Linked DNA regions of Diceros bicornis minor. The protein of the gene in region 2 interacts with the protein of the main gene of each other region in a pairwise test. Links are inferred from orthologs where the notes say so. Each region holds a gene or a part of one and is shown on either strand. Other genes may lie near its edges.

Region 1 (7,675 bases), on a different chromosome or scaffold from region 2:
TGGAAAACAGTATGGAGATTCCTCAAAAAATCAAGGATAGAACTACCATATGATCCAGCTATTCCACTGCTGGGTATTTATCCAAAGAACTTGAAAACACCAATTTGCAAAGGTACAAGCACCCCTGTGTTCATTGCATCGTTAGTCACAATAGCCAAGACTTGGAAGCAACCTAAGTGCCCATCAAGGGACGAATGGATAAAGAAGATGTGGTATATATACACAATGGAATACTACTCAGCCATAAGAAACGATGAAATCCAGGCATTTGTGACAACATGGATGGACATTGAGGGTATAATGCAAAGTGAAATAAGTCAGAGGGAGAAGGTCAAATACCGTATGATTTCCTTCATTAAGTAGTAGATAATAACAACAATAAACAAACACATAGGGACAGAGATTGGATTGGTGGTTACCAGAGGGGAAGGGGGGAGGGAGGAGGGTGAAAGGGATAATTTGGTACATGTGTGTGGTGATGGGTTGTAATTAGTATTTTAGTGGTGAACATGATGTAGTCCATGCAGAAATAGAAGTACAATGATGTACACCTGAAATTTTTACAATGTTATAAACCAATAAAAAAAAAAAGAGTAAAAAAAAAAAAAAAGAATACCACTTACTCAGTTTTCCTTATTTGTAACGACTCATTATGGAATATTTCTGTGTTTAAAGTGTAGATTTAAAATAAACATTGATAGCATTGCACAGTGATTATAAAGTCAAATAAACAGAACTTGAGCTACTTCAATGGTCCTTCTATGTGACCATTTGTAATTATTATTTGTATTTATACAATTTTTCAATTTGCAGAGACATTTGACAGCTTCTAAAATTGATCCTGAAGAAATAAAGACATGGGCAATATTGTAATTTCTGGAATAATTGTGAAATAGGATTTTTTAAATCTTTGCCACACATATGCTATGTATACATCTTTTTCCTATTTACCTATTTGTGGCTTCAGTGAAAGAAACTTTTCAGAATTAAAATGAACAAAAAGTGGTCTTCAATCAATAATGAGCAAAGATAAATTGATGACTCTGGGTACACTATCTAATCAATGTGAACATGTGAAAAAGATTACTTTTGACAATGTCATTGGCAAATTTTGAGAAAGTAAGGGTCCAAAACAAAAATTGTAATATTATTATTTATTATGGTGACATACCTATATAAGGGTATAAATTCTTTCTCCCTTTCCAAAAAATATGTTAATATGATTGAAAATATTTTATCCATATAATTAAAAGTAGTTTGTATGATAATATTTATTTTATGTCAATGCACACATTTATATGCACTTTTATTTTTACTGGTCTGATTTTATATATCAAGTTGAATAAAAACTATTCACTACCTATATTTGTTTTCTGGCCGTTATTACCATTTATTCCATTTCATGATTATTACTGAATATTATTTTTTTATATAGAAGAGAGTGAAGTAAAAAAGAAAAAATGAGGGGCCTGCCCAGTGGCGTAGTGAAGTTCATGCGTTCCACTTCCATTGGCCCGGGGTTCGCCAGTTTGGATCCTGGGCGCCGACCTACTCACCGTTCATCAAGCCATGCAGAGGTGGCGGCCCACATAGAAGAACTAGAGAGACCTACAACTAGGATATACAACTATGTATTGGGGCTTTGGGGAGAAAAAAGAAAAAGAGGGAGATTGGCAACAGATGTTAGCTCAGGGCCAATCATCCTCAAAAAAAAAAAAAAAGAAAGAATGAACTGCTCCAGGTGTTGAATATGCGGGATACACCACGGTTCAAGGAACTCAAGGAGTCATGAGGAACAGAGTTATAAGCATCTAACAATAAGAAAATACCACATAAATATCATCTCTTCCTTGAGAAGAATGGGAAGTTTTAAATACAAGTGCCATATGAGACTGATGTTTACGTGCACTATATACATTCTCTCCTCAGTAAAACAGTAGAAGAGGGGCTCAAAGGAGGAGGGATAGTAGAGGTTATATGTGGTATGTGGACAACGTAGCAAACTGGAACCAGGAAACCACTGGAACAGTAGGGTAGCTGGAGCATAAACAGAATCAGAGAAGAGAAGGTGGATGGGGAAAAGATGGTGAGGGGCACATTTTCACTATGAAGTATCTATTGATTATAAAGAGAGCCTTTGGTTTAATCAAAAATTTTTAGACACTCTAAGAAAGGACTCAATATCAATTACTTCATTTGTAGAAAGCATAAAAATAACACTGAAAGGGTGCTGTGAATAAAGCTAAGTAATTTTCGTGGTGTGCCCAAACCAGGGGATACATACATAAATGATTTAAGTAAATTTTTTTGTCTGTATCCTCCAAATATGATGTGGAACCAATCAGGGTGGGGATTGGGCCTCATGCTTCCTTGTATCTAGGCTTCTGAGAAGATGGTAAATGTTCAGTAGATATTTAATTGCTTAACGGATAGATAGAGGAAGGAAGCAAGGGAGGGAGGAAGGAAGGAGACTCAAGTTAGCATTCAAATTGGAGGTGAAATTTGATCAGCCCTGAGCTAACATCCATGCCAATCCTCCTTTTTTTTTTTTTTTTTGCTGAGGAAGACTGGCCCTGGGCTAACATCCATGCCCATCTTCCTCCACTTTTATATGGGATGCCGCCACAGCATGGCCTAACAAGTGCATTGGTGCACACCCGGGATCCGAACCCAGGCCGCCAGCAGCAGAGCACACACACTTAACTGCTACTTCACGGGGCTGGCCCCTGATGATTTTTTTTTTTTTTGAAACTTATAAACATTAATGGGGACGGTACTTTGGAATGTTGGTATCCTGAAGACTTACATTTTTTTTTCTACAATGGTTCTTAAGTGAATACTTAGTTTGTTTTTAATAATCTTGTTTTCTATTTAATTAATTTATTCATTTATTTCTATAAGTTTGTATATTTATTCATTTCTCTTTATTCATTTATTTGTATAAATTTTCCAAAAAGTCACATTGGATATATGCCTCAGGCTCTCTTGTGTTTCTTTTTGCTGGTCTAACACTCTTTCTAGTGCATCTATCAAAATAGATATTTATTTGGGAAGAATTTTATTTTTTGAGATTTAATTCTGAAAGCAAATACTACTGTTAACAACAGCTTAATATTTGTAGAAATAAGAGCATGACCAGGCTAATTTAGCTATTCTGAATGCAGTTCTTTCGATTGTTTTATTGACATTATATTCAATCTGACTCAGATTCAATTAATTGTAGTTTTAGTTTATAAAATGTGTTTTTCACTTCTAAGAACTCTTCTCAGATTCCTCATTTTTCTTTGAGGAAAAAACTTGCTGTATGGATGCAATTTTTCATCAAATTTTCACTGAGAATATGAATTAGATAATTGTTGTTTACTGGGTTTTGTTTGTTTTGTTTAGGTTGGTTTGTTTTTCACCTGTTTCTTACATTAATGTTTAACCAGGGGTAGTTTTCTGTGAATACTTAGACTGTCTGTCTCCAACCCTCCCCTGCCCCTTGAAATGCTAAGGGACTTTTTTTCCTAGTTTATCCATAATTTGTGTAATCGCTGTTCAATTGTTTTAGTCTCAGACAAAAAGAGAAGACTAAAGTTTACATTTATTGAAAAAATTTCAAGAGCCAATTGTTCTTGTAGGATTGTGATTAAATAGAGGAAAGTAGTCATAAAAAATAAAGTTATTACGTCAAGTTCTCTCATTGGAAAGTCTGAATTGACAGTAAAAAGCCAGCCTCTTTTTATTGCCTGGAAGGTGCTCTTCTCATTGTTGTTCTCTAGTTTTGTTTAGTAGGCTCACTTCTTCCTTGAGCCAATTTATTCACTCTGTGAAAAATCCCCTGCTTTCCAACTATCCTCTGCTTTCCGAGGGCTGCATTATAGAAGTGAAAGCTGATGAACTGATGGATGTTGAGATTAGATCCACCTTACTACTTTGCAACGTGTCTACAAAAAGTTAGTAAAACTTTTGTGGCAGCCTGGGTAAGACGTAGAAACTCACTTATTTTCCATTGCACTCTCTTCCATTTGGACATGTTGTTAGTGAGAACTGCAGAACTCTCGGCGTATAACACCTCCGTCCAAACCTCTGCACTAAGAGACGTGACAAACTCCGGCATGGCTTCTAACAGCTTAAGGCTGAGTCCCTAGCGTCACCCCAGACCCCCGTAAAATGCCTACTTCAGAAAGCTCAATGCTTCCAGGAGAATTTACTGTTTGTTCTAGTCAAAACTTGGTGATAGACAGATAGGCAGGTCCCTGGAGCCCCTCTTAGAGCAGTTACTTTAGAAAGCTTGCAATTATAGATCCTTTCTCTGCCCTTTGAGATGTAAATCTACCACCCAAAACAGTTTCTTCAGGACCTGAGAGCCATCTCTTTGAAATGCAACCATTCAGGGAGTTAGGGACTTTTACTCTCTGTGGGAAGATAGGGGCTTAACTTCAGAGGGGGCCACCATCCTTCAACATGCACCATTGCCTCCTGTCATAAAAGCAGAAGTTCATTTCTCTTCTGGAGAGGCACCAATTAACAAATTCAGATGGCCCAGTCACACGGATTAACCCCCCTTAATACCACTCAGTGCCTTTCCCTTCGCATACTCCAGCCTTTAAAAAGTCTCCAGTCTTTGTTTTGGGGAAGTTGGGTCAGTTCATGCTGGGCTCTCTTGTCTGTTGTAATAGTATTACTGAAGGAAATCTGTCTTGACCGCTTTAATGAGTGTCTGGCGTGGTCTATCTTTGACAACAGTCAGATGTCTCCTTCATGCTACTTGCTTCAAAGACTTGTAAACAGGTTGGATACCTCTGTAGTTTCCAGCAGTGGTAAGTGTTTTCCGTATCTCATTAATTTGGACATTACTATGGAAATTGGAAGAGAGGAAAAAAATCAAACATTTAGCATAATATTTCAGTGCAAGAATCCTCCATAACTTCTTACTTGCAATATAAGTGTATGGAATGGTGAAGGAGGCAGTGTAGCATAACAGAAAAGATCATGAGTTTTGCAGCGAGTAGACTTTGACTTGATTCCTTTCTTCAATATTCTTATTAGCTTCTTAAAATTGAGCAAGGGACTAAAATTTCTATGTCTCATTTTCTTCATTTGAAAATAAGAATAATACCTCCCACATAGACTTGTTGGAAAACTGAGATTGAATGAGAAAACATGTGTAATGGGTAGTACTTAGCTCATAGTAATTGTTCAATAAATAATTTACCACTTCATGTTAATCTCTGACAAATCCCAAAGAGATTTGTTTCCTCTCTCTGTTGTTACAACAGTGCACCTCCTTATGGCATCCTTCATATACCTATCTGTAGGTTTCCTGTTATTAGACAAAGAGCTTCTTCACAGGTATCATTTATCCTTGTATCCCCAGCTCCCGCCAATTGAAAAGATGGGCATTCTGAAAATGTTTACTGAACAAGCGACTACACGAATAAGTGAATTAATGTATAGTTATAGCGAAGTATTGGTGAACTCGAGGTATCAAAATTGTTTAATAGTTTATATAGACCAAGTCAATTAATGATGTCAAATTCAGTTGTGAGAATAATGAAAGCAGCATAAGACATTAGTCTCTTCATTTTTCTCACATTTTGTCTGAAACAAAGATCTATCCATTGTGCTGCCTTATTATTTTTTTAAGAGTCATTAGTCTCAGAAACAGGATCTAAAGATACAAATGGGAAATTGCTATGGCAGAGTTTTCGTTTCCTGCTTTTGGATAGCTGGTTGGACAACTTAAGCTCTTGTTCAACCTCAGTAAATACCTCTCCCACATGATTTGACTCATAGATCCTCTTTTGTCCACAGGCAGTTGTCTTAGGAGAAGAGAGAAAAGAGCTCTCAAATGCTGTGTCAACTCGGGAACCCAGGAGAACAATGGAATACCACTCTGAGTTAGAAAATGTGGATGAAGATGGATATACTCAATTAGACTTCAGCTCTCAAGGCATCGCCAGGAGACGTGTGGTCTCAGAGAAAGGTATTTTTTCTTTCTGCCTTCAGCATTCTTATTCTCATCAACTAAAACCCATAAGGGGAGAAAATATGAGAGACTTGTGATTTGTAGGGCTTTTATTAATATGTTTTAAAAGGTTTTCAGAAGTCATTGAAGATAATTTGAATGTAACTAAGCCTTTTCTCTTGGCAATCATTCAGTGACTAATAACTAGTATGTAAATTAATTATTCTGATGGCAGAAAATACAATTTCTCTGCTCTGTAGAAACAGACACTTCAGCAGTAAGGACCTGTAATAAGTGTGATGAAATGCAGAGATGAAAGAATTTCAACAGGAGTGGCTTGTTGTTGTTTGATAGAGAGGAGTAAATTGTAGAATGGAGGTCGAGGAAACTTAAATAAGTGTATATGAACAACATCAGGATATTGGAGAGAAGAATGAAAAGATGGGGGCTGGCCAGGTGGCATAGTGGTTACAGTTGATGCACTCCTCTTCGGTGGCCCAGGGTTTGCCGGTTCGGATCCTGGGCGTGGACTTATACAATGCTCATCAAGCCAAGCTGAGGCAGCATCCCACATAGAAGAAATAGAAGGACCTACAGGGGCCGGCCAGGTGGTGCAAGTGGTTAGGTGTGGCGCTCCGCTGAGGCAGCCCGGGGTTCGCAGGTTTGGATCCCGGGCATGCGCCGACGCACCGCTTGTCAAGCCATGCTGTGGTGGCATCCCATATAAAGTAGAGGAAGATTGGCATGGATGTTAGCCAAGGGCCAGTCTTCCTCAGCAAAAAGAGAGGAGGATTGGCAGATGTTAGCTCAGGGTCTATCTTCCTCACAAAAAAAAATCAAAGAAGGACCTACAACTAGGATGTACAACTGTGTACTGGGGCTTTGGCGAGAGAAAAAAAAAGAGGAAGATTGGCAACAGATGTTAGCTCATGGCCAATCTTCCTCAAAAAAAAAAAAAAAGGTTCCAGGATGCCATCTACGAATTAAAAAAAAAAAAAAGAATGAAAAGTTGGAAGATAGGTGAGGGAAAAAAGCAAACTTTTTTTGTGATAAAGGCCAAAAGGAAGTCAGAAGTCATAGAGTTTAGAATCCTGAATCTGATATGATTTTTATGGTAAGAAATGAATTTGGATTTTTTTAAACAAAAGGAAGTTCTATGTACACCGGTGAAAGAAAATATATATTAGATGAAAAGATCCCATTAGCAGGGCAAGAGTCTTAAACAAAATATAAAAGGCGTGAAAAATGGAGAAGGGCATTAAAAGATCTCTCTTTTAGAGAATGAGAGGTTTAGTCCCCTCTGTGATTCTTCTATTTGACAATGTTCTGAAATGCTCCTACTGCTTATTCTCAGTCAAAGGCAGAGCTATGTTCTTGCTATGGTGATGTTGACATAAAAGGAATTCTCTGTTATCAAGAGAGAGATTGCTACAGGTTTTGACATCAGAATTTGTTCTCTTCTTCTTTCCTGTAAAATCACATTGCACAATTATTTTCCTTTTGCCACTTATGAATTCTTTTCTTGCGCAATCTGTTGGGGAATAGTGAAGATACTGGATGATGCAAGAGGTAGGGAGGTGTGTGTGTTTATGCATATGTGTGAACAAACAGTGAGTTACCTACAATGTGCTCATAATCTCTAAACTAGGTGCTTTTATGTGTGTTAGCTCATTTAATACCCACAATAATCCTTTGAGGTATTATTACTCCAATTTTTCACAA
Region 2 (7,519 bases):
CCCTTTGACAAGCAGGAGAATTTCCTTCCTAAAGGAATGGACCCAGGACAGTAAAGAGACCAGGGTCACTTAGCAAAGTAAACACTAGGGGAGCAGTGTGTTGGAGTAGGGGAATTGAGAGCTGTTGTCAAATATCTGCATTTGTCCTAGGCATTTCCAGAGGACAGAGTCAGGGCAGCAGGGTTGTTTTTGTTTGTTTTTTTGGGGTTTTTTTTGGTGAGGAAGATTGGCCCTGAGCTAACATCTGTGCCCATCTTCCTCTATTTTGTATGTAGGACGCTGCCACAGCATGGCTTGATGAGCAGTGTGTAGGTCCGCGCCCAGGATCCAAACCCATGAACCCTGGGCCGCCGAAGCAGAGCGTGTGAACTTAACCACTACCCCACTGGGCTGGCCCGAAGTGCAGCAGTCTTTAGCACAATATAAAGAAGAACTTTCTAATAATTAAGACCTTTGAAAAATGAAACAGAGTGCCTTATAAAGAATTGAGCACTTGGTCACCGGGGGTGTTCAACTAGAGGCTAATGGCCACCTGACCAGAGTGCCACAGAGGAGTGGCTGCAATGAGGGGAGGTTGGTCGACATGACACCTGAAAGCCCTTGCAGTTCTAGGTTGGTATATGTATCTCTGAAATCAACTTCCCTTGGGAAGACATGTGACTGATCACCTGCTACCAGGTGAGGTAAGGTGCAAGGCAGAAAGTGGACTCAGCTCTCCAGGGTACACATTTGGGCTATTGCAGAATCCAGAAAGTTCCCTGTCTCTGGCCCTCCAGATATTCAGATGCCTGGGTCCCTCTAGCATCATCACCTCCCCTGTGCCCCACCCCCAGCCCCAACTCACCGGGAGATGGCAAAGAGACCGGTGAGCAGAGGAAGCAGTTTGAGGGTATCTTGGGGCAGGTAGGTGGAAAGCACGGCCAGATTGAAGAAGTAGAGGATGAAGAGCTGGACCGACTGGGCCACATACTGCCGGTGGATCTCCACCTCCCGCCGTGGCTCCCCAAAGGGCCGTAGGGCAGAAAAGCACAACAGGCTCAGCCCATACACCAGGAGCCCTGGGTGGGGTTGGAGAACACATAAGTCAGAACAGGAGCAGTAGGCAGGAAGCTGGGGGCAGAATTCGTAATGGAAAGCTCATGGGCATGCGCCCTACACAGTGGGGCTGAGGTGATCCTGGAGGGAGATGGGCACACAGGGTGGCAGGGTGTGGGAGGCCCTGAGGGGGCTGGGCTGAGTGAAGGGAAACTCTCCTGCTCCCCAAGCCAGGCAGGCCCTGACCTCAAGTCCAGTTCCCAGACAGCCCCTTCCTTCTCACAGGGCCCAGGCTCACCCAGTATGATGGGGAAGGTGGCAAAGACCCCACAGCGCAGCGTGTAGACGAGGCGGGAACTCATGGTAGGCAGCCGTGGGGCATCGAAGGGCAGGAAGGCATATGCCCCGTACAGCAGGCAGGGGAAGAGGATGAGGGCAGCTCCCACTGAGGCCACGGCCCTCAGCCCCTCTCGGCCCCCACAGCTCCCACAGCCCCCACAGGAGCGGCTAGGTGGCCTCACCACTGCTTCGGCCCACTTGCACTCAGAGGGCTCAGGGTGGGTGGCCCGGGTGGGCAGGAAGGTCCGGCGGTGCTCACCCTCGCCTGCCTCACAGCGCACGACGAGGTCCTCCTGGGGCCTCCGCTCAATGCACTGTAGGTCAATGGGCACGAAGGCCCGGGCTGCCTTCTCAGGAAGCAGGTTGACATCATCTTCAGGCAACTCCTCTAGCTTGGTGGGTGGCTCTGACTCAAGGGGCTCAGGCTCAATATCCCGCCAGCCAGGGGGATCCGGGAACGGGGCACTGGGCGGGGGGCCAGTCCCCCAGGGCAAGGTGGCAGCCTCACTTACTGTGCTGTCTAGACCATCCTCAGTCCCCTCTCTGGCTGTGGGAGACCCAGCTGAAGACCCTACTCTGGAGGACTCAGCTCCGGGGGACTCAGCCCCACCTTCCCCCTCTGGCTGCCGGCCATTGGGGACCAAGGCCTGGGGTGGGCTTTTCTCTGGGGCCTCAGGCCTCTTCACTTCCAGCAGGGCCAGGGTCTCGGGTTCTGTCATCCTGGGGCCTCACTTCTGGGGTCTACCGTGAGGTCACGTCACCCTGGAGAGAGCAGAGGAAAGCTCTGTCAGAAGCTCCTGTCCTCTAGCCCTTAGGACGGGTTGATAGAACTGGAACTCTCCAGGGCAGCTGGCCTCATGGGCTTTAGCCCCTTCTGGGACCTTAGAGAGAACATGGTATGCAGGAAGGTGTTGAAACAGAGGGAGGCGGAGGGAAGTGAGCAGCTGAAATGGAGGCACCCTTTCGACATCAAATGCCATCCAGCAGAGGGTGAGTCAAGGGGCACAGGCCCTGGCAGCTGTGGCCTCAGCCAGCCCCCACCCACGCTTTCTATCCCCCTCCACCAAAACCCCTGGGGTCATGGCCACCCTAATGCAGGAATGGGAGGAAGAGAAGATGTCTAGAATTTTGCCAAGAGCTTCCTTCCCACTAAGGATCTTGTGGACAGAGAAGCTGCCCCTTCACCTTCAAACCTCCCCTTCTCCCTGCAGTTCCCTGCTTGGAACTCTCCTGGCAAATGATACCAATGATTTGCCAACAAATCTGTCCCAAAGAGCTGGCAGTAGCAGTGTACCCTGTTCTTTTCTTCTCCAATCTGGGTACTTGGTCAGTTTCCAAAGTCCTCACTAGCCCACCTCCTCCATCCCCGGAGGGCCTGGGTCTGTCCATTTTGACTTCTAGGTCTAATCACGGCTTTTTCCCATGCTGCCTCTCCTGTTTTCTCCCCTCCCTGCCATCCTCCATCTCACTGCTTCTGGATGGGGTTGATTCCCCTCCCACCACCTCCTCAAGAGCCTCCTACCTCTTGCCGCTTGGACCCATGACACCCTCTTATTTTCCATCTGGAGAGAGGCAGTGGGTCCCCAGTGTCCGGGAAGAAGCTGCCTAGCTCCCTGCTGGCACTGCAAGTGTTCCTCTCGGTGTCCCTCCTTTACCTGTGTCTCCAAACCTGTCTGACCAGAGCAGGTGGGGCCCAGATTAAAGGGGCAGGGCCCGCCCTGCTGAATCGGCCGACAGAAAAAGCATTAGAGGAGTCATCCTTTCTGAAAGGGGGGGGGGGGCGGAATGTGCAGTTGGGCACAGAGGTAAATGTGTGTTCTAGGTACATGGGATGTGCAGGAGGTTCCAGCTCAGGAAAGAGAGGGGGAAGAGTGGGTTTATGGATCCAAGGGTGTGTGGAGTAGGTTGAGATACCCAGAAAAGAGGTGAAATTTCTACACTTATTTGTTCACCTATTATTAGCTAGGCTCTATTCTAGGCACACAAGAGAGAACAAGATGACAGGCAAGGTCTCTGCCCTTAAGGAGCTTGTTCTATTGGGGTAACAGATAATAAAGAAGCCTAGCAGCTAAAGAAGACAATTTCAGTAGGGAAAACCTCTTTGCCAAGGTGACATTTGAGCTGAGATCTGATGAGAAATCAGGAGTATGAGTGTTCCAGGCAGAGGAACAGCAAATGAAAGGCCAACGAGTGGGAAAGACTTAGGCTATGTCAGGAACAAAAAGAAGGTTGGTGGCTGGAATCAGGAGCATAGTGGTGGTGGTGGTATTTATGTTCCCATTACAGCATGTACACAGGCCCCCCCAAACACCTTGCCTTTTAGCTTAGGTTTAAGGTTAAGAAAGCAATAGGAATCCAAGGTGATCTTTCCAATGGGAGGACCAGGGGGCAGATACGTGAGGGAGTGACTTCTCATTCCTGTGGGACCTTATCTCTCAAGTCATTTAAGCTTTGTGAGGGCCCAGATGGTGTCTGGATTGCTCATCTCTGTGTCTCCAGAACCCAGCATCGTGGCTGGAAGACAGCAGGTGTTCAATAAATGTTTGCTGGACTGGTGAGAGATGGATATGCAAGTGGAAATCTTTGGGGGCGAGGGAGCTGAAGGGCCAAGATGCCAGTACAAGAGTCATGTCTTAGAGGGCCTTACCCTTAAGTTATGCTTGGCCCTTTCCAAGGAAATTTTCACATACATGTTTTTTTGTTTGTTTAAATAATGGAAAAAGGGGAGAACTGAAATCACTCTAACCAGTAATCTGAAAGAGGCTCGGCTCATATTGGGGGGGAGGGGTGAAGGGGCAGCAGAATGGACCAAATGGCCACTGTAGGACAAAGCAAAGTCACGCTCCTAGCTGGGAGCCCATCTGCCCCATGGGAGCCCATCTGTCCCATCCACCTTAGCTTCAGCCCCCTCACTGAGTCCACTGTCCGTTCGCTGGCACCTTTGTCAATAAAGTTTTTCGCAAGTGCTCGGAGAAGCCGGAAAGAGGCCACGCTGCCCAGAGTTAGTTCTGGCAACTTCCCGGGAGGGAAAACTAGTTTCGCGAGATTTAGTAGCAGCAGGCCACTGGCCCGCAACTGTGCAGCTGCTATCGCGAGATTTGGCCGGCGGAGGAGGAGCTGTCGCGGGCAGCCGCCTCACAGCGATGGCGGCCGAGCAGGGCCGGCGGCGGTGGCGGCTGCGGCTACGGCCGGAGACAGCAGTGGTGGCGGCAGTGGTGGGTGGTGGGGGCCTGTGACCGGGAGCCGCCCCCGGACTTGGGCACCATGAGCCAAGGGCCCCCCCCAGGGGAGAGCAGCGAGCCCGAAGCAAAGGTCCTCCACACTAAGCGGCTTTACCGGTGAGAGGGGCCGGGGCGTAAATGCAGCCGCTGAGCGAAATAAGGGGACAGCGAGGGGCGGGGCCTCCAGGGCGGGCGGGGCCCCGGTGCCGGGCTGGGGTGCGAGGGAGGAGGGTGCAATTTTGGAGGAAGCAGGGGGGGCGGGGCCCCGTAACCCGAGATGGAGTTGAAAGAAGGAATTGGGTGGGTGGGAGGTTTGGAGGGAAGCACGTGGAGGAAGCCCCTCCGCCGTGAGCTTGGGGCGGGCACCGAACTTGACGGATTTGGGGTAAGAAAGTGAAAATTGAGGGCTGCAGAGGTTGGGAAGGTGAGGGTGGGGTCACAGATGGAGAAAAACCCGGAAGGGAATGGTGCTTAGAACCTTGTAGGATTTACGGGGAAGAGCCCTGGACTGAAATCAAGAGAACCAGGTTCAGATCCTTGCTTTGCCCCTCTCACTGTGTGACCTTGGGCCTCAGTTTCCTCATCCTTAAAAGGAGAGATTTGAATTGGATATGCTCTGAAGTCTCTTATGACTCTAAGTTTTGGGAATCTGAATGAAAAGAAAGAGGCTGGAAGACTAGGTGTGTTAGACTGGAAGAGCCAGGAAGGACTTTGAGTCCAGAGTGCTCTTAGGTCATGGATGCCCAGTTCAGGGCAGCTGGGGACTTCTAAGTCCTCCCTGCCTCCCAGCCTCATGACTACAGTCTCCTGCCAGGCAGCTTACATTCCTGGTTTCTGATTTCCACAGTGCCACTCACACTCCTTAAGTCACGTCTTCAGCTCTTCAACCCTTTGTTGGGAACAGGCCAGTATGAGCTTTTCCCACCCTGGGTTGAGGATTTTTTGTGTGGGGCAACTGGAACATGGGCTCTAGAACTGGGTCAAAATAGGATGAAGCACAGAGACCAAGTTGAGTTTTTTGCTTTCTAGTAGGGAGTAGGGTTTGAGTTTTCCTTTAGCTCAAGCTCTATAGAACAGAGGTGTTTGCATGAGAAGACCACCCTTAGAGCCATGGGCCCAATTTTGGCAGTGAAAGAGTCAAGAGCATGTTGTCTTTTCCTCTCTTGAGTAGGCATCCTGCCTGCTCTGGCTTATTAAGCCAGAAGGCAGAGGGGAGTATAGGCTGCTCCAAAAATAGAAAAGTGATCCAGTCCAGCAGCCCCTGGGTTCCCACTGTGGGCTGCCCCAAGCGGTCTCCGGGCGGGTGAGGAGTTGACTGAGGGTGGCACATGTGCCTTGTCATGCTGCCGAGTGTCAGCGCTGTCTGTCAGACAGCGTGGGCAGTGTCTGCAAGATTCCTTCCTTGTCTCCAGCTTTGGGTAATGGCTCTGGTCATCCTTCTAATCATTCTCAAGTCTAGTTCTTTCTGAAGCCACTACCTTCATGGGACTGACTGACTAAAGCTGATGTGTTTGCATGTATGTTCACATGGGTATCTCTGCCTGTGATTGTGTGTTGTTGGCTTTGAGCAGGGTGGAAATTTGAGGCAGCAGGTCTCTGTTTTTGCTGTTTACTATAGCAATGGTGATTGGTAGAAGGAACTGGGGAAGGAAGGTCTGATTTCTCTGCCCAAGATAGATGTGTTAAGACTACGAAACTGTCACTCTGAGCTTCAGTAAATTTGGGAAATTCCCACAATCTGTTTACAGAAATGAAATTCTGAAATGTGTTAAGCCCCTCAGAAGAAAAAGCAGCAGGAGAGAGGATACGGGAAGGGACACAAGCACCAATTAATTAATTAACCCAATTAACCATTTTTTTTAAAGTGTTTTTTTTTTTTTTTTTTTTAAACACTGTGCTAGGCCTGGGATTACAATAGTGAGTGAGACACAAGACTAGTTTTATAGTTTTTGTTCTAAAGGAGGTTACAGTTTAGTGGAGGAGCTTATTGTCTGATGGGGAATGGAGAAAAAAGTGCTGAGTCCTTTCAGGTTTAAGAATTTGCAATTAGAACTTACTAGAGTAGTGGTTATTAACCTTTTTTGGATCAAGAATCTAAGGAGAGCTCTGGAGCCTGTCCATAAAAATACACACACACCCCCCCCCCTTAAATCTATCTATGGCACTGAAGTTAAGAGTGCTGCTCTGGGGACTCAGCTGGCATAGAGTAAATCACTGATGGCTGCCTGATGCTGCCTCTGGCAGCGAGGGCCAGGCTGGCCAAAAGGGCTTGGCTCCCCTCTCCAGGCAGCCCAGAACGTGTTTGGAGAAATGCTGAGCTCTCAAGATTGCCTGTGAGAAGGCCTTGATTGCCATCCCACCCACTTAGCTGGTGCTGGCGCTCCCTTTGCCCTGTACGGGTGGCTTTTAGTGGTGTACCACCTGAGCCACCACGGGATGCTAGCCTGCTGTGGCCCACTTTCCCAGGCCTAGGAGCACATGTTTCAGTATTCTAAAACAATCTTGGAGTGTTTGGGGAATCATCACTCCCTGTTTTTTTGGTTGCTATTGTGTCCAGAGCTATGCCTGATCCACCTGTTTTCACAGTTGCTGTTTGTCATCCTCCGGGTTTTACCCTCCAGAGATGACATCTATCTCTGGCACTTCTTAGCCATCCATTGTAGTTTCCTTGGTCTTTTCTCTTAGTGTCTGGAGTCTCCTCCTCAGCCTTATAACAAGAAGGATGGAGACTAATACTTATTGAGCATTTACTATGTACGAGGCACTGTTATGGGTGCTTTATGTTTTAGCTAATTTAGTCTTTACAAAGTAGGTGATAATGTTATTCCCATTTCATAGATGGGAGAACTGAGACATAAGGAAGTTACATATTTTGCCCAGGACCACGTAGCTGGTGAGAAGTAGAGCCAGGATTTGAACCCCAG
Region 3 (7,420 bases), on a different chromosome or scaffold from region 2:
ATTTTGTGGCTTAGGTGGGGGCATAGTCCAGGCAGAACTGGTGTCTCCTTTTGGATACTGCAGAAGGAAGGGGGACCTAGGCTCACCAGTCAAGGTGGCCACACCCAGGAGGATTGATTGGCAAGCGGAGAGACAGATTCTCCCAATAAAGGCACTTTTACCTCAATAGGGGGCTGGGAGCTGGCTGGGAGTGTTGTAGGGGTGGGAGGAGTTATTTTGATAGAGGTGTTAGTTGCAGGTTGCAGAGAGCAATGAAGGGAGTCCACCTACACCGGGCCATCTGCAGGGTCTGCAAGTGAGGAAAAGAGAGAAAGCATTGGCTGGATCCATATGCCCATTCTACAGACAAGAATACGGAAGCTTATGTTATTTATTGCCACTAAAGCCATAAGTACCAATAAGGGACAGAGTTGGCATTCATGCCCTTGGGAGACCCCTTTTCTTCTCTCCTCAACACCCTCCCCCCGCTGAAACACACACACACACACTTACCAGTAGGGGCTGCTGAATGTCTTTGCTGCCGCAAGGGGAAGGTGACATATGCATCATAGCTAAAGAGGCACACAGCGATTAGGCCCAGTACCTGGGGGTGGAGATGGGAGTGAAGTGGGTTGGATTAAGCTAGTCAGCCTACTCAGTCTCTTAACTCTTTGTATCCACCACCTCCAGTGACTGCACCCTGCAGGGATGGTGACTAAAGCCCCAGGTCGGGAAGCCAGAGAGCCAGAGAGAAAGGCCAGGAGACTGGACTCTGTCCCAGCCTCCCTCCTCCTAGTACCTCTTAAAACAGGGCAGCCACACGGTGGCCCCACATACAGGAGATACCATTAATACTGTACATTTGAGACAGATTCTAGCAGATGGTAGTCTAGTGTGTTGACAAAGGGGCCGCCTCTTTGTGCTTCCCACAGAGGTCCCTGTTTCAGACATGGGATGGCCCTTTACAGCAAATGATGATCTCGGGAGGAAAACCAGCGCCTGGGCCAGACTTTCCTTCAGGCTCTGAGAACAAGTGTGGCCGGCTGTTGGTCACACACTTTCTGCCAGAGGCAGAAATGACCCCTGGATCCTCAAACCCCTCTATGCTTTGGAGCTGCCTCCACGGCCTTTACCCCTCCGACGGTTTTGGAGTGGCTTCCTGGCGCAGCAAGGACGACAATGGAGGTGATCAGGTAGAGGATGGCCGCTATGAGGGTTCGGAAGAAATCCTGGGAGGGGTAGGGAGAAGAGGAAAGTCAGCATCCAGAGTTCCCCAGACAATCCCAACTGCCCAGGCCCCTCCTTAGCCTCGCCATTTTCGGCCCCTTTCTCACACTCCAAGGCCAGTTGATGATCTGTATTTTGTTGTGCAGGTCACACATGTAGATGACAAAGAAGACAGCAGCAAGGATCATCTCGATCACCGACAGGGAGGAGAATGCTGCTGTCGAGGCACTGAAGCAGATCAGAATCACGAGGCACAACACCTGGAAGGATAACACGGGAAAGGGGCCTCGATCAGCTCCCATGGCTGAGGGGATTGGTTTAAGTTGGGAGTCTCAGATGCCTACCAGGACTAGGAAAATGACAATAGCTAAACACTTATTGTGTGCTCACTGTGTTCGAAATATTGTTTTAAGAGCTGTACAAGAATTAATTCACTTAATCATCACGACAACCTCATGAGCTGGATACTATTACTAGTATCTTTATTTTATTATTTTTGTGTGTGTGAGGAAGATCAGCCCTGAGCTAACATCCATGCCAAGCCTCCTCTTTTTGCTGAGGAAGACTGGCTCTGAGCTAACATCCACGCGGATCTTCCTCCACTTTATATGGGATGCCACCACAGCATGGCCTGACAAGCGGTGTGTCGTGGGCGCCCGGGATCTGAATCCCGGGCCGCCAGCAGCAGAGTGGGTGCACTTAACCGCTATGCCAGGGGGCCCCTAGTATCTTTATTTTATAGATGAGAAAAGTGAGGCACAGAGAGGTTAAGTGACTTTCCCACAGTCACTCAGCTAGTGAGGGGTAGAGTTGGGTGCCTCAGTTTCCCCCCTTTTCCCTTCTAAGACAGGGGTGGCCTGAGAGGGGTGGCGCTGCCAGGTGTTTTGCGAGCACTGCTGGGGCCAGCTGCATGGCCTTCACGGGGCGGGACGTGCGGTTCCCCCGGCAACCCCTTTGGGAAGCGGTGAGAGCGACACTGGAGGGACAGGGCTCGGTTAAAGGCGCCGCACCCCTTTTACAAGTGACTCAAAGGCGGCGCCCACTTTGAGGAGGGCGAGAATTCGAGGCTGCCGAGCGGCCAGGACAGCTTAAGGACCTCCCGCCCTACCACCGAAGGGCGAGGAAGAACTGGCGGAGGGCGGGGCACCCTACCCCGCGGGACAAGCGCGCAGGGCCCCACCCCAAGAGGCCCCGCCCCTGGGCGCGCTGCCAGCCCGCCCGCCAGTGCCCAGGCCGCGCCACGCCCTGCCACGGAAGGCTCCCACCTCCCAGCCCCTTGGGACCCCTCTGATGAGTCCACAGATGAGTCCACGCAGTCTCCTTCCATGGGGCCCCCCCATATGCTCTATGGGCCTCTTGCCTCACCCCGTGGGCCAGCAGCTCCCGACCACCTTCTCCAAACCCGACTGACTCGCCCTGCGCCCCTGGTTTCTGGCCTCCGCCACTAACCCACCCACCTGCGCCCCACTGCTGAGCGCCCCCGGCCACGCGCCTACCTCACCTGGGCCCTCCCGGCTCTGCGTGGTCCAGCCACCCCACCCCGCCTTTGGCCACCCGCCTGTCCCGGGACGCTCACGATTTCAGCAAACAGGATAATTCCTTTTCGGGTGCACCAGAAGTTGGTGCAGGCTGCCCAGCAGCCGGGGGCCGAGAGGCGCTCGGAATCCGCCATGGCGTGGGCCGGAGTCCCTAGGAGCTCGGAGGATCTGCTTGCTTGCTCACGGGTTCGAGGACGCTGCACACCCAATCGTCTTGCCCGCCGTCTGGCCGGGAAGGTGGCCCCGGGGCGAAGGAGGGAGTGAATCACCGCACCAAGCAGAAGCGGGCGGGGCCGGAGGGGGCCGGACCAGGTGTCTGCCGCCCCGGAAGCCCCCTCGCCCCGCCCGCCAAGGATATTCCCCTCCCGGCGCACGGCCCCCGGGGCGCCCCATCTCCCGGGGCGCCAGCCTTTGAGGCTTGGCAGTTCGGAGTACCCATGCGCGGTAATGGCGAGACCCTTCGCACTTTTAGAATACAAATACTCCCAGGGCTGCCTCAACTCAGAACCGCGGAGATCTCGCTTTGGGAGAGAGTGACTCAGTTTCCTTAGCTGTAAAAACGGCGGCTGAGGCCATGGTTAAACCCAGGAATGTTTCCAGAATTTGGAATATTTTGAATTTTAGAAAGTTTTCCCGGTTCCTATACCGTGCATTACTTACCCTCAGCAGGGTCTGAGGCTGCCCCATTTAAAAAAAAAAAACACCTTAATACTTCCTCAAGGAAAGATGTGGATGTTCACAGTAAGTGGGATAAGCCAGGACTGAAAATTGCTCCTGGTTAAGTCAGGTCATGTTTTGGAACCATATGATGCCCAATGTGTGGGAAAACTGTTGGTTTCCAGAGCTTTTTGGACTTCAGAATTTTGGATAAAAGATCGTGGACTGTGGAATAAACCTCCTAGCGGTGATGGAAACGAGACGATGCCGGTGCACAGGCTGAGAGAGAACAGGGCCCGGTGAGCATCAATCTGCTCATTGTAAATGCGGGTGAACATTATTAAGAGAATCAGAGCCCAGGGTCTGCAATCCTGAGGAAGTCCCAGTCTTAAGTGCTGGGCCTCCATTTCCTGGTTCTAAGGAGAGGGGCTGTGAGCCCAACCCTAGATGAAGAATGGGGAAGAAGCACAGGTTTATTGATTGCTGGGAGCTTGGCAAAATGAGGGGAAGGCTCCTGAGGGGCCAGGCTGGGTGACAAGGCCAACAACATTTGAAGAGTGTGTTATCCTGAACAAGCAACTTCTAACTCAGCCTTGATTTCTGCATCTGAGATATGCACCTGGTCACGGGAATCAGAATCTCCCCCGAGATGTGCTGAGGGGCATGCTTTCCAGACTGGATGTTGGTTTTATTCTCATCTCATTTGAGGAGGGGCGAGTCATGGCTGGAAGGCCAGGATGTTTCAAGCCAAGGGCCTGCCTGCTACCCCCGCAACCCAGAGCCCCTCCAAACCAAGGAAGCTGCTCCCCTCTTCCATCCCAGGTTGCCAAAAGAGTAATTGGATAGTGGAAGAGATGAAACATATTTTTCCCAGTGCTGTGTGTGCTTTCCACCTCTGGAAAGGTGGAAATGAGGCATGAGGACATGCCTGAGTTTCTAGAACAAAATAAACTCTGCCCTGCATCAGGGCCTTTGCACTTGCTGTTCCCACTGCTGTCAATGCCCTTCCCCCAGCTCTTCATACATCTGGCTTCTGATCATTCGGGTATCAGCTCAAATGTTATGTCTTCAAAGAGGCCAGCAGCCCACCATCATTACCTCCCCTAACATAACCTCCTTTTGCTATCTTCATAACTCTCACCTCTGAAATTATCTTTTATTTATGCATTTTCTTGTATTTTCTGACATCTGTCTACCCCCACACACACATCAGCTACACAAGGATAGAAATCTTTGTTCCTTCCCCCAGCATCTCCCCACTGCCTATCACAGTGCAAGGTAAACAGTTGGGGCTCAATTAATACTTGTCAAATGCAGGTGAGATTAAGGGGACAGGTTTGGGAATTGAGCCTTGATTAAATCTTGTTTCAAACTCCCTCCCTCAAGCTACTTATACTCTCTGAGCCTCACTTCCCTCCTCTGTTTAAAATGGACATATCAGGATTATTGAGTAGATGTGTAACCAGATGAAAATAGACACTGCAAGTAGAGCCAGTAGCAGGGATAAGGCTAAGTAAATGGTGGCTGGGGTTACTAATATTAGTCTCCCAGGTGTGACTGTGTTTATAGTACTAGGGCTCTGGAGCCCTTTCCTGACTTCCGTGGGGCCACACCTCCACCAGGGTCTGAGTCAGGGGCAGCTAGAAGCTCCAGCGCCCTCCCCCACAACGTCTACAGTGCTAACCCTTCAAGGGTTCACCTCTTCACCTCTTCATACCCTAACTCCCAGCCTGGTTTTGCAGTCCCTCTCTGCTCCCCAACAGCCACCCTGGACACTCACACTCCAGTCTTTTAATTTCTCTAACCTGTCCCCGGCCCCTCCCTGTAGGGGTAAGAGTTGCCCATTCTGGCCTGACCACAGCTTCCTTCGTTGGGTGTATGGGGACAAGTGTTCACGATGTGGTGACAGCAGAGGTGACTGGACATTTCTGGCCTTGGCCAGTGCCTGCTTCGGGGCTACCCCAGCTGGAGTCCCACTGGCCATATAAGCCCCGGCTTTGAGCTCTGTTCCCAGGATGGAGGAAACTCGGGCCTCTCCCACGACTGGGAACGCCCAGCATGTGGCGTGTGCACACAAGCCCGGCTGCAGTTTGTCACCATCTATGGAAGAGGGGGGTGCGGCCCAAAGGTTGTAATAGCCTTTTTTAGCCCGGCCAGCTGACTCACACCTTCCTGGCTCCGCCCTAAAGGGGGCTCCAGGGCCCCAGCCCATGCCCTGAGGGTGGCAGTCTACGTGCCAGAGAAAGCTGGCCAACCAGACCAGAAGTGAGAGACTGCAGGCTCCTGGCGAAGGAAGCCGCCCGCCGTGGCTCTAGCCTTGTTATCCGGCCATCAGCTGAGTGTCTGGACGATTCCGGGCCAGGGCTCTTTGTATACTGGTGCACTCCCGCCATCACAGGCCCACCTCTACATTTCACACGCCACGCGCAATAATTATCTGTGAGCCCTGAACACCTCCCAACAAGTGAAATGAATGCATGGGGAGAGAAGCAGAAGTTTGCTAAGAGAAACGGAATGGGGAGAAAGCACGCTGGGCTGAGGCCGGCAGAAGCAAGGACCCCTCTAGAGGCATGAAAGAAATAACACGAAGTAAGCTTGTCAATGGTTGCAAGAAGAAACCAGATCGACCCACACCCTCTTTACCAGGTGGACTCGGGAGCCTCACCGGGCCAGAAGCCCCTGGAAAGTCAAGACTGGATCAAACCATTTTATTACCTCCCCCGCCCGAAACAAGAAGCGCAGGGCTGGCCCGTCCGGGAGGGCTGTGCCACTGACGCCGCGAGGGGAGCACGGGCTGGTCGACTGCGCAGCAGGAGGGGGAACAAGACCAAGTGGAAGCTCTCCCCGCCACGCTAGTGCGCGGCCGGCGGAGCACGCCAGATCCAGGTTGGGCAGTACCAAGTAAGCACCAAGCCGCCCGATGCATGCTCAGTGCCTCCGCCTGCCGGCTGCCATCTCCAGGGCGAGCTGCGCGGCCCCCGGGACCCCTAGGGCACGCGAGAGCCGTTCCTCGCTGGGCACCAGCCAGGGTCCCGGGGAACCCGGAGTTCGGTCGTGAGGGTCCTCCGTGCGGCGCTCAGGAGGAGGAACCGCGGGGCTGTCGGCCGCTCGCTCTGGGCTAGGCTCTGGGCTGCCCCGGGTTTGGGGCGTCTTATGGGATCGAGGGTGCTGAAGTAGGGAGGGGCTGGCGCTGCGAGACTTCATCACCTTTGGTCCCCCAGAATCTGGGCTGCGATCTGGGGATGGCAAGACTGCGGGTTAGATTGGGTGATAGGGTGGGGAACAGAGAGCGGGGCCCCTTGGCCCAGGGTGGCTGGGAGACTGCAAAGGCAGGGATCCTGCTCCTTAGAGAAATCTCCCTTCAAGGCCTGGACACGCCCTTGAGGAACCACCACCACTCCTTAAGACCCCTGACACCTCCTTTCCCAAGACCCCTCCCCTACTGGATCCAGAACACACCCCTCAGAAAGCATTTCCCACAATCTCCAAAGGAAATCAAACCCTGACCTTGACCTCGAGATGCCAAATCCCTCCCATCTAGGACCTCAGACTCTCCCCTTGCTCAACCCACCTCCCTCGACCCCGACTTTTTCCCTTATGGACCCCTCCTCTTTCAGAATGAGACCCCCTACCCTCTAGATCCCCATCCCATCTCCTCCCCGCTGGGACCCACTCTGCCTTCCCATCCGAGGACTATGACTCTTCCTTCTGAACACCCGCTTTTACCCCAGACCCCTTCCCTCCTCTCCTGGCCCAGTACCTAGAAAGTCTCCCCTCAGAAGTCCACCTTTATACCTATCCTGACACCCTACTCCCTGCCCAGCTCCCCCCTCCGCCCCCCCCGCGGTTTTGGAGACTACCATGACACTTCACAGACATCAACCACCGACCCTCCCCACTGAGACCACCAAACCCTTCCCACCCAGGACCCCAGCCTCTCCACTCTGCCACTCTCTCCTTCCCTTCACAGATCCCTGACACCTCTTCCCTAAGAAACCCACCATCGCCTTTCTGGGGCC
Region 4 (6,951 bases), on a different chromosome or scaffold from region 2:
AGCTCTGAGGCAGGCTTACTGGCAGTCTTAGCCATTGGAAACACAGATGGTCTCTTAGGCTCTTTGCCCGGGGAATTGAAGGTAGTAGTAGACTGAGTGAAGCACCCACACCTCCTGCTAGTTCTTTAGTTTGCAATGGACCCAGCCTGGTCTTGTGGTGAAGGCCAAGACTTAAATATCAAAGACAGTAAACTGCAACTCCCCATTGGAATGGAGAACAAACAACCTTTGTTCATGGTGGAAAAACTTGCCCCACAAGACACTATTGTCCTTTACCAAATTACTTTATAATAACTTTGTTCATTTCTGAGAATCCCTCTCGAAAATTACGTCCCAAGATGGATTACTTCACAAGAGATGTGATTCTTGATAAAATTTATTCAGTAGCATACCCCACCTCTTCTGTGTGTGCACTGACTAGGTTTTACTGTGGTTTGAGAAATCACAGGATTGCTCCTTATAATCCATTAAAAAAGCAAACTGGAGTGAGAAGCAAAGATGATATAATACGGAAGCAGAGGGGACCATGGGCCCTGTTAGTGAGTCTGGCACCTTGCAAGATAAAGAAAGGTCCCCACTTAGTGATTTATAGTTGCACTGAGGCAAATAGCACTGTAAGTTCAGAAAAATATATGAATCCTTTCAGAATAGCATTTGCTGTACCAATGGCTACAATAAAACAAGACAGGCAATCTGGCCCCATGTTTAGGCAGGCATGTATGAGTGGTCAAAAGGGCTAGCTACCTACCACACTCAGTTAAGTACGCTATGGCCATGGAGAATGAAAGGGTTTATTGTCCTCTAACTCATCTGTGATTGTCAAGAGAATCCAAGATTCAATTTGCAGGGCAGCATGCCGCCTTGGGAATTAGCTAAGTGGTAGCAGAATTGGATCGGAATGCATTTTGGCACTCTCATTCATTTGCTGTTTCCTTCCTGATCTCGATTGCTTTGCCCACCTTGCTAGCCAGAATATAGGTGGCTTTTCTAGAAAGACATGTGAACAGTAAGTAGTTCAGAAGCAGAGAGCAGTGGGAGAGATTGAGAGAGAGAGAGAAGGGACTAACAATAGGCATTGGGTAATGCCTGAAATCTTTTCTGGAACAAGATATAAATAAAAAGGCAAACAAAGTAGGCTGGTTTGCTTTTCATTTCCCCTGCTACTTAAACTTGATAAGGTAGCTTCTGGGACTAAATGTAAGTGGATATGGCAGCAGAGGTGAAGAACACAAGTGTGACTATGCCTTACTTCTCTATTTTCTTCTGGACACTTGTCCAGTTGATTTTCTATTTTCTCCCCCTCTGCCTCTCCTTTCTCATTGATCTATATTCTTCCCTGTGCTCCTATCGCTCCTTTGGCTCCTAATGGTCCACGACAGCACATTTTCTTCTTGTTTCCTATCCTCCCTCCTGGATTTGTGCCTTTCCCTTCCTACATCTGTTATCAAATAGAAATGAGCGTTTCATGACAACAAATTAATAAAAACAGTAACAACAACAACATCCCACATGCAGAGAGAAAAATGTGGCAAAGCCAGAAAACCATCTTCACACCTTGTAGCTTGTACATTTATTAATTCTCTTTCAAATGGAAATTGTTAGCATGAAGGGACTCTGATTTTCTTTCTTTTTTTTTTTGAGGAAGACTGGCCCAGAGCTAACATCTGTTGTCAATCTTCCTCCTTTTTTCTTTTTTTTCTCCCCAAAGCCCCAGTAGATAGTTGTATATCATAGTTGTACATCCTTCTAGTTGCTCTATGTGGGACGCTGCCTCAGCGTGGCTTGATGAGTGGTGCGTATGTCTGTGCCCAGGATCTGAACCGGCGAACCCTGGGCCACCGGAGCAGAGTGCGTGAACTTAACCGCTACGCCACTGGGCCGGCCGCTATGATTTTCTTTGGGTCACATCTAAACTTGCCCATTGCGTGTGAGCCCAGGAGTAAAAATGACACTAAGGTACACTAATACCAACTACAATGGCCAGCCAAGCTTCACCAAATCACCCTAATATCAGAAGCTTTCTGAGATACCTGTGATAATGACTTGGTGTCACTTGTTTCTACCTTGTGGCATTACTATCTCAGTGGGACAGTGACAATTGTGGCTGGTGAGGAGCTGAACAGCGCTAGTTTTTTTTTTTTTTTTTAAAGTCATAAATAAATGTGAACTCAGGTATAAGAATTGCTCCTTCTGAAAAGGAGTCTGCTTCCTGTTCTCACAGTAGATGCATTAAGTCAGAAACATAATCCCTGAAAATCCTTTGCTGCCATTTCTGGTGGTTTCTTCTTATGTGGTGGTATAATTACTTTTCCATCAGTTTCTGCCCAGGTAATTGAAAGAAAGATGGAAAGTATTTTTTCTTACAGTAAAAATTTTGCTTCTAAGGGGAGTTTTAACTCCTTAAAGCCAAGCATCATAAAAGAATGGGTAATTCTACATCCTATCATTACTAACCGAAATACAGAAAACACATTGTTTCCCTTTCCAAAATAATTAGGCAAATAAAAGAGAGTAAAATCTTGATTCAGTTTTTCATACCACCAGAAAATAAACACCAAAGGGACTTAATGATTTTCATTTTCAGAGTAATATACATATCAATCACTAATTAAATTCAATCAAACTCAAAACAGAAGTATTGGATAATAATGTACATTTACTTACTTTTTTGGGTGTCTCCGGCCAGAAGTGCTTGCCTCCCCAAAACAGGACAATTAGAGTTAGGGCAAGGATACCAAGCACTAATCCACAAATTTTAAGCGATTTACATATCTTCTTGGATTTAAAAGCTTCTGCCTAAGCAAAGAAGAGAGAGAATAAAACAATACACATTTGTCCTTACAATAGCAAGCCATGATTCAAAGTCACCTTTGATTTCACTTTCTAATGTTCATATTGCAATATGACAAATCTGTGAAACCCTGCTTCTGCTCAAAAGGGGAAAAATATGAATCAACTTACATTTAGAATGTGACAGTCCTCACAGTTCTCTGGAGGATTCTTAGCCATGGTATCTCAGCGCACAGTACTCTTTCCCTGCTTTGAGAGAACTGAGAGACCACTGCTGAGGTGGAGTTGCGAGTGAGTCGGCTAACAGATGCCAGAGGAGAAGCTGAATTTATATGGCTCAAATATGTCATACCAGAGCCTGAGGGAGCCCAGGGGGCTCCTGTGCTGCGATTTGTTACATAGATATACCCATATATGTATATAACTTCTGTGCACAGAATTCCATCCAGAATGGCAAAGACAGAAGGTAATAATAAAAACTATTGTCCTGGGGGTTGGTTTGGAAGGGGACCAAGCCTAGGACACATTGAAATGATTTTTCACTATGAACTTAAAATATCAGTGGCAATACATGCTGCACACTCCAGAAATAAGCAAACAAAACAAAAAAGGGAATGAAGTCCTAATTTCAATTCCATTCGATTTAACAAATATTTGTTGCAGGGATATTAAATGTCAGGTACTGTTCTTGGTGTTGGAGATTCAGAAATGAATAAAGTATTTCCTCCTCCACTATGTCAAAGCTCTTTGAGGGCTGAGATCAGTATGTACTCAATTAATTATAATTAAAAACAAGATTAAAAAGGTTAATTGTATGTTTTCTCTCTCTCTTCATCTTATTTCTTTGATTATTTTCCTTTCCTAGGTTCTCTTCCTCAGTCTGTTCCTTAATGTTGATATTCCTTAGATTCTATCCTTGAGATTTTCTCACTCTATACACACGTTTTAGATGATCTCATCATCCACTCCTACAGTTTATTTTATAATATCACCTACATGTCAATGATTTCCAAATCTGTATCCATAACCCCAATCTATCTCTTGAATTTCAAAGCCATTCGAATATCTCTACCTGGATGTACCTCAGGAATCTCAAACTCAACATGTCCCACATCAAATTCTTCTTTCAACACCTCCTTCCCCCAACCTACTTTCTTTCCCATAGTCCTAATCTTGGTTGGTGGCTGCATTAGTTTGCTAGAGCTGCCATAACAAAGTACCACAGACTGGGTGGCTTAAACAACAGAAATTTATTTTCTCACAGCTCTGGATGCTGGAAGTCCAAGATCAAGGTGTCAGCAGAGTTGGTCTCTTCCGAGGTCTCTCTCCTTGCCTTTTAGATGGCCATCTTCATGTTCACATGGCATTCTCCTTCTATGCATGTCTGTGTCCTAATCTCCTCTTCTTCTAAGGACACCAGTTATATTGTATTAGGGCCCTTCTATGCAACCTTGTTTTTCCTCAATTACCTCTTTAAAGGCCTTATCTCCAAATACAGTCATATGCTAAGATAATGGGTATTACGGCTTCAACATAAGAATTGGGGGGGGGGCACAATTTAGTCCATAACAGTGGAACCATCACCCACCCAGGCTCCAAAACCAGAAACCTGAAGTTTGTCCTACACTCCTCTCTCTTTTTCACATTTCCTTTATCCAACCATTCACCAGATCTTATCGATTCTAAATTCTCAAGTCTTTCAAGGTTATTCTTTCTTCTCTATCTTAACTGCTAAAGTCTTAGTTTAAGTTGTCATCTTCTCTGACAAGTCTCAAATCCATATCTCTAACCCAGGCTGCTCTCTTAGGGCTCCAGACCCATGTGTCCATCTAACCTGCCAGACATCTCCACTTGGATATTCCACAGGCACCTCAAATACCACATGCTCCAAACTGAATTAATTATCTCTCCTCCCAAACATCCTCTTCTTTCTGTATTACCTCTCTCACTAAAAGACACAATGATCAGTCTCTAGAATAGAAACCTCCAAATGAGCCTTAATTTCTTCCTCTCTTGTCCATCCCCATGCCTAATCAATTATTGAGTCTAGTTAATTTTGCCTGTGCATTATCTCCCCAATTCTATTCTCTCCATCCTCAATTGTCACTGCCTTAGTTGAGGTTCTCATAGTTACTTTTACTGTTGTAATAGAATCCTAATTGGTTTCCTTGCCTCCAATCCATTGCCTTCAAGGTGATCTTTCTAAGACTCAAATCTGAGGATAATCTCTCCCCTGCCTAAAATCCCTCTGTGTCTATTCATTGTCCATAAAATCAAAGCTACTTATGGTGACATCATAGAAACTTCATGGTCTGTACCCTGCCTACCTCTCCAGCCTTGATTTTGGACAATTTCCTCCATAGAGATGGAGCCAACTGGGGGTCTCAGATCTCCATGGGCAGAGCCATGGAGCATGTATATGTGACTTCATCCACATCCTAATGTCGTGATGGAAACTAATTTTCTGATTGTTGTAGACATGATCATGCATGAAATTGATTATGTAACTTATGAAATATAAGTCATAGTTCTATTTGTTTTACAATTCTTCGGCCAAGCTTAAAAAAAAAGAAAGGCATGAGAGTAGTCTCATGGAGAAACTTATGTTTACTGTGTTAGATGATTCCCCTCAACAATGTTACTCATACTATGCCTACGATGCCTTCTTTACATTTTACACTTTACACCCTCTACTTTTTCACACTACAGGGCATTTGAACATGCTATACTCTTTGCTTGTATTTCCTTTCCTCCCCTTGTCTACCTGGAAAATTCCCATTTGGCTTTCAAAATGCTGCCTAGATGTTACTAGCTCCTGAAAGCCTTTCCTGGCCTCATCTCTACCACTTCATTGAGTTCATCACCCTTTCCCTTGTTCTATTTTTGTATTTTGCTCATACTTCAAATATTGCACTTATTATACTGTATCATAATTAGTTTTTATGTGTTTTTCTCCTGAACCGACTTTGAGATCCTTTAAAACATGTCTTATTTGTTAAATGGATTGAATTAAAATAGAGGTCAAAGCAATATGCCATGGAAGCATAGAGGGAGGAGTGATTAATTATGATCCAAGAGAGAAGGGAAAATGGCACAAAGCACATGAAATTTCAGTAGATTTTTCATTTATTAGCATTGTTTACTCCGTGTCCTCTATGTGGCATGCACTGTTATATGGGCTGGATATATATTTTGTACTGGACAAGAGAAATACATACCTTGGCATTAGAGAGCTCAGAGTCTAGTTGGGAGACAGAAGTTAAACTAAAAGGGAAAAATCCTGTAAATTAATAAAAAATATAAATTATGAAACATCCTAAGAAGGAAAAATTAAGGGTGCTATGAAAGCACCTAATTTGGATTGGGGGTTCAGGGAAGTCCATGCTGAGGAAACATCCCTTAAGCTCTGACCTGAATAAATGAGTAGAAGTTAGCGAGTGAAGACTGGGGAAAAGACTATTCCAGGCAGAAGGAACAGCACATGCAAATACCCTGAAGCAGGAAAGAGGTTGTATTTGAAGAGTAAATGGAAAGTCAGTGTGGTTGTGATACAGTGAATGAGGAGGAAAGTTGCTTGAGATAAGGCTAAAGAGGTAGGCAGGGACCATATCATACAAGATTGTATCTATTAGGACCGTTTTGGCTGCATTAATAGAAATAAAGTTATGGTGGTTTAACAAAATAAGGGGTTTATTTTTCTGACATAATGGAGCCTCAATGTCAGCAGTCCAGGGCTCATGCAAGTTCCATGATCCAAGCTTCCATCTTTTTGTTCTGTGGTTGTTTGAGTGTGGCTTCCATCTTCATGCTTCCAAGATGGCTGTTCCACCTCCAGGCAGGAAAAAGGAGAGGATGCGGAAGGCAAGAGACACATGATAGCTGAGTCCATCTTTTTCCATCAGGAAAGTAATAGTTTTCCTTGAACCCCTATCCTGTAAGTTTCTGCTTATCTTACTGGCCAGAACTGGGTTGATGGCCACTCCTAACGGAAATGGAGTCTGGGGCGGTTTTATTTTCAACTCAGCCTATTAGTACTCCTAACAAAAATCCTGGTTTTGTTACATAAGGGGGAAACATATTGGGTAGGAAATTTATAGTTTCTGCCACAAGGGCCATGGTAAGGGGTTTGAAGTTTATTCTAAGAAACAATGGGAATTCATT

The links.
Region 1: the proteins of TMEM79 (region 2) and CLEC7A interact in binary tests that used the Homo sapiens proteins (3 or more experiments, as listed by UniProt). The two-hybrid records come from large-scale screens. The link is inferred for Diceros bicornis minor from reciprocal best matches to the Homo sapiens genes TMEM79 and CLEC7A.
Region 3: the proteins of TMEM79 (region 2) and PLP2 interact in binary tests that used the Homo sapiens proteins (3 or more experiments, as listed by UniProt). The two-hybrid records come from large-scale screens. The link is inferred for Diceros bicornis minor from reciprocal best matches to the Homo sapiens genes TMEM79 and PLP2.
Region 4: the proteins of TMEM79 (region 2) and TNMD interact in binary tests that used the Homo sapiens proteins (3 or more experiments, as listed by UniProt). The two-hybrid records come from large-scale screens. The link is inferred for Diceros bicornis minor from reciprocal best matches to the Homo sapiens genes TMEM79 and TNMD.

The regions. Positions count from the first base shown.
Region 1 is NC_080756.1:52,031,423-52,039,097, forward strand, and holds the start of CLEC7A (C-type lectin domain family 7 member A), read left to right. Parts: upstream 1-4,654; 5' UTR 4,655-4,805; intron 4,806-5,799; 5' UTR 5,800-5,868; coding exon 5,869-5,971; intron 5,972-7,675.
Region 2 is NC_080743.1:59,879,357-59,886,875, reverse strand, and holds the start of TMEM79 (transmembrane protein 79), read right to left. Parts: upstream 3,022-7,519; 5' UTR 2,897-3,021; intron 2,137-2,896; 5' UTR 2,094-2,136; coding exon 1,334-2,093; intron 1,059-1,333; coding exon 845-1,058; intron 1-844. Other genes in the region: nonsense-mediated mRNA decay factor SMG5, read left to right, coding at 4,639-4,712.
Region 3 is NC_080781.1:42,378,967-42,386,386, reverse strand, and holds the start of PLP2 (proteolipid protein 2), read right to left. Parts: upstream 3,006-7,420; 5' UTR 2,879-3,005; coding exon 2,783-2,878; intron 1,467-2,782; coding exon 1,314-1,466; intron 1,209-1,313; coding exon 1,113-1,208; intron 584-1,112; coding exon 493-583; intron 290-492; coding exon 267-289; 3' UTR 1-266. Other genes in the region: PDZ domain-containing protein MAGIX, read right to left, coding at 6,330-6,637, 7,403-7,420. UniProt on the Homo sapiens protein: May play a role in cell differentiation in the intestinal epithelium.
Region 4 is NC_080781.1:93,661,288-93,668,238, reverse strand, and holds the start of TNMD (tenomodulin), read right to left. Parts: upstream 3,010-6,951; coding exon 2,962-3,009; intron 2,797-2,961; coding exon 2,665-2,796; intron 1-2,664. UniProt on the Homo sapiens protein: May be an angiogenesis inhibitor.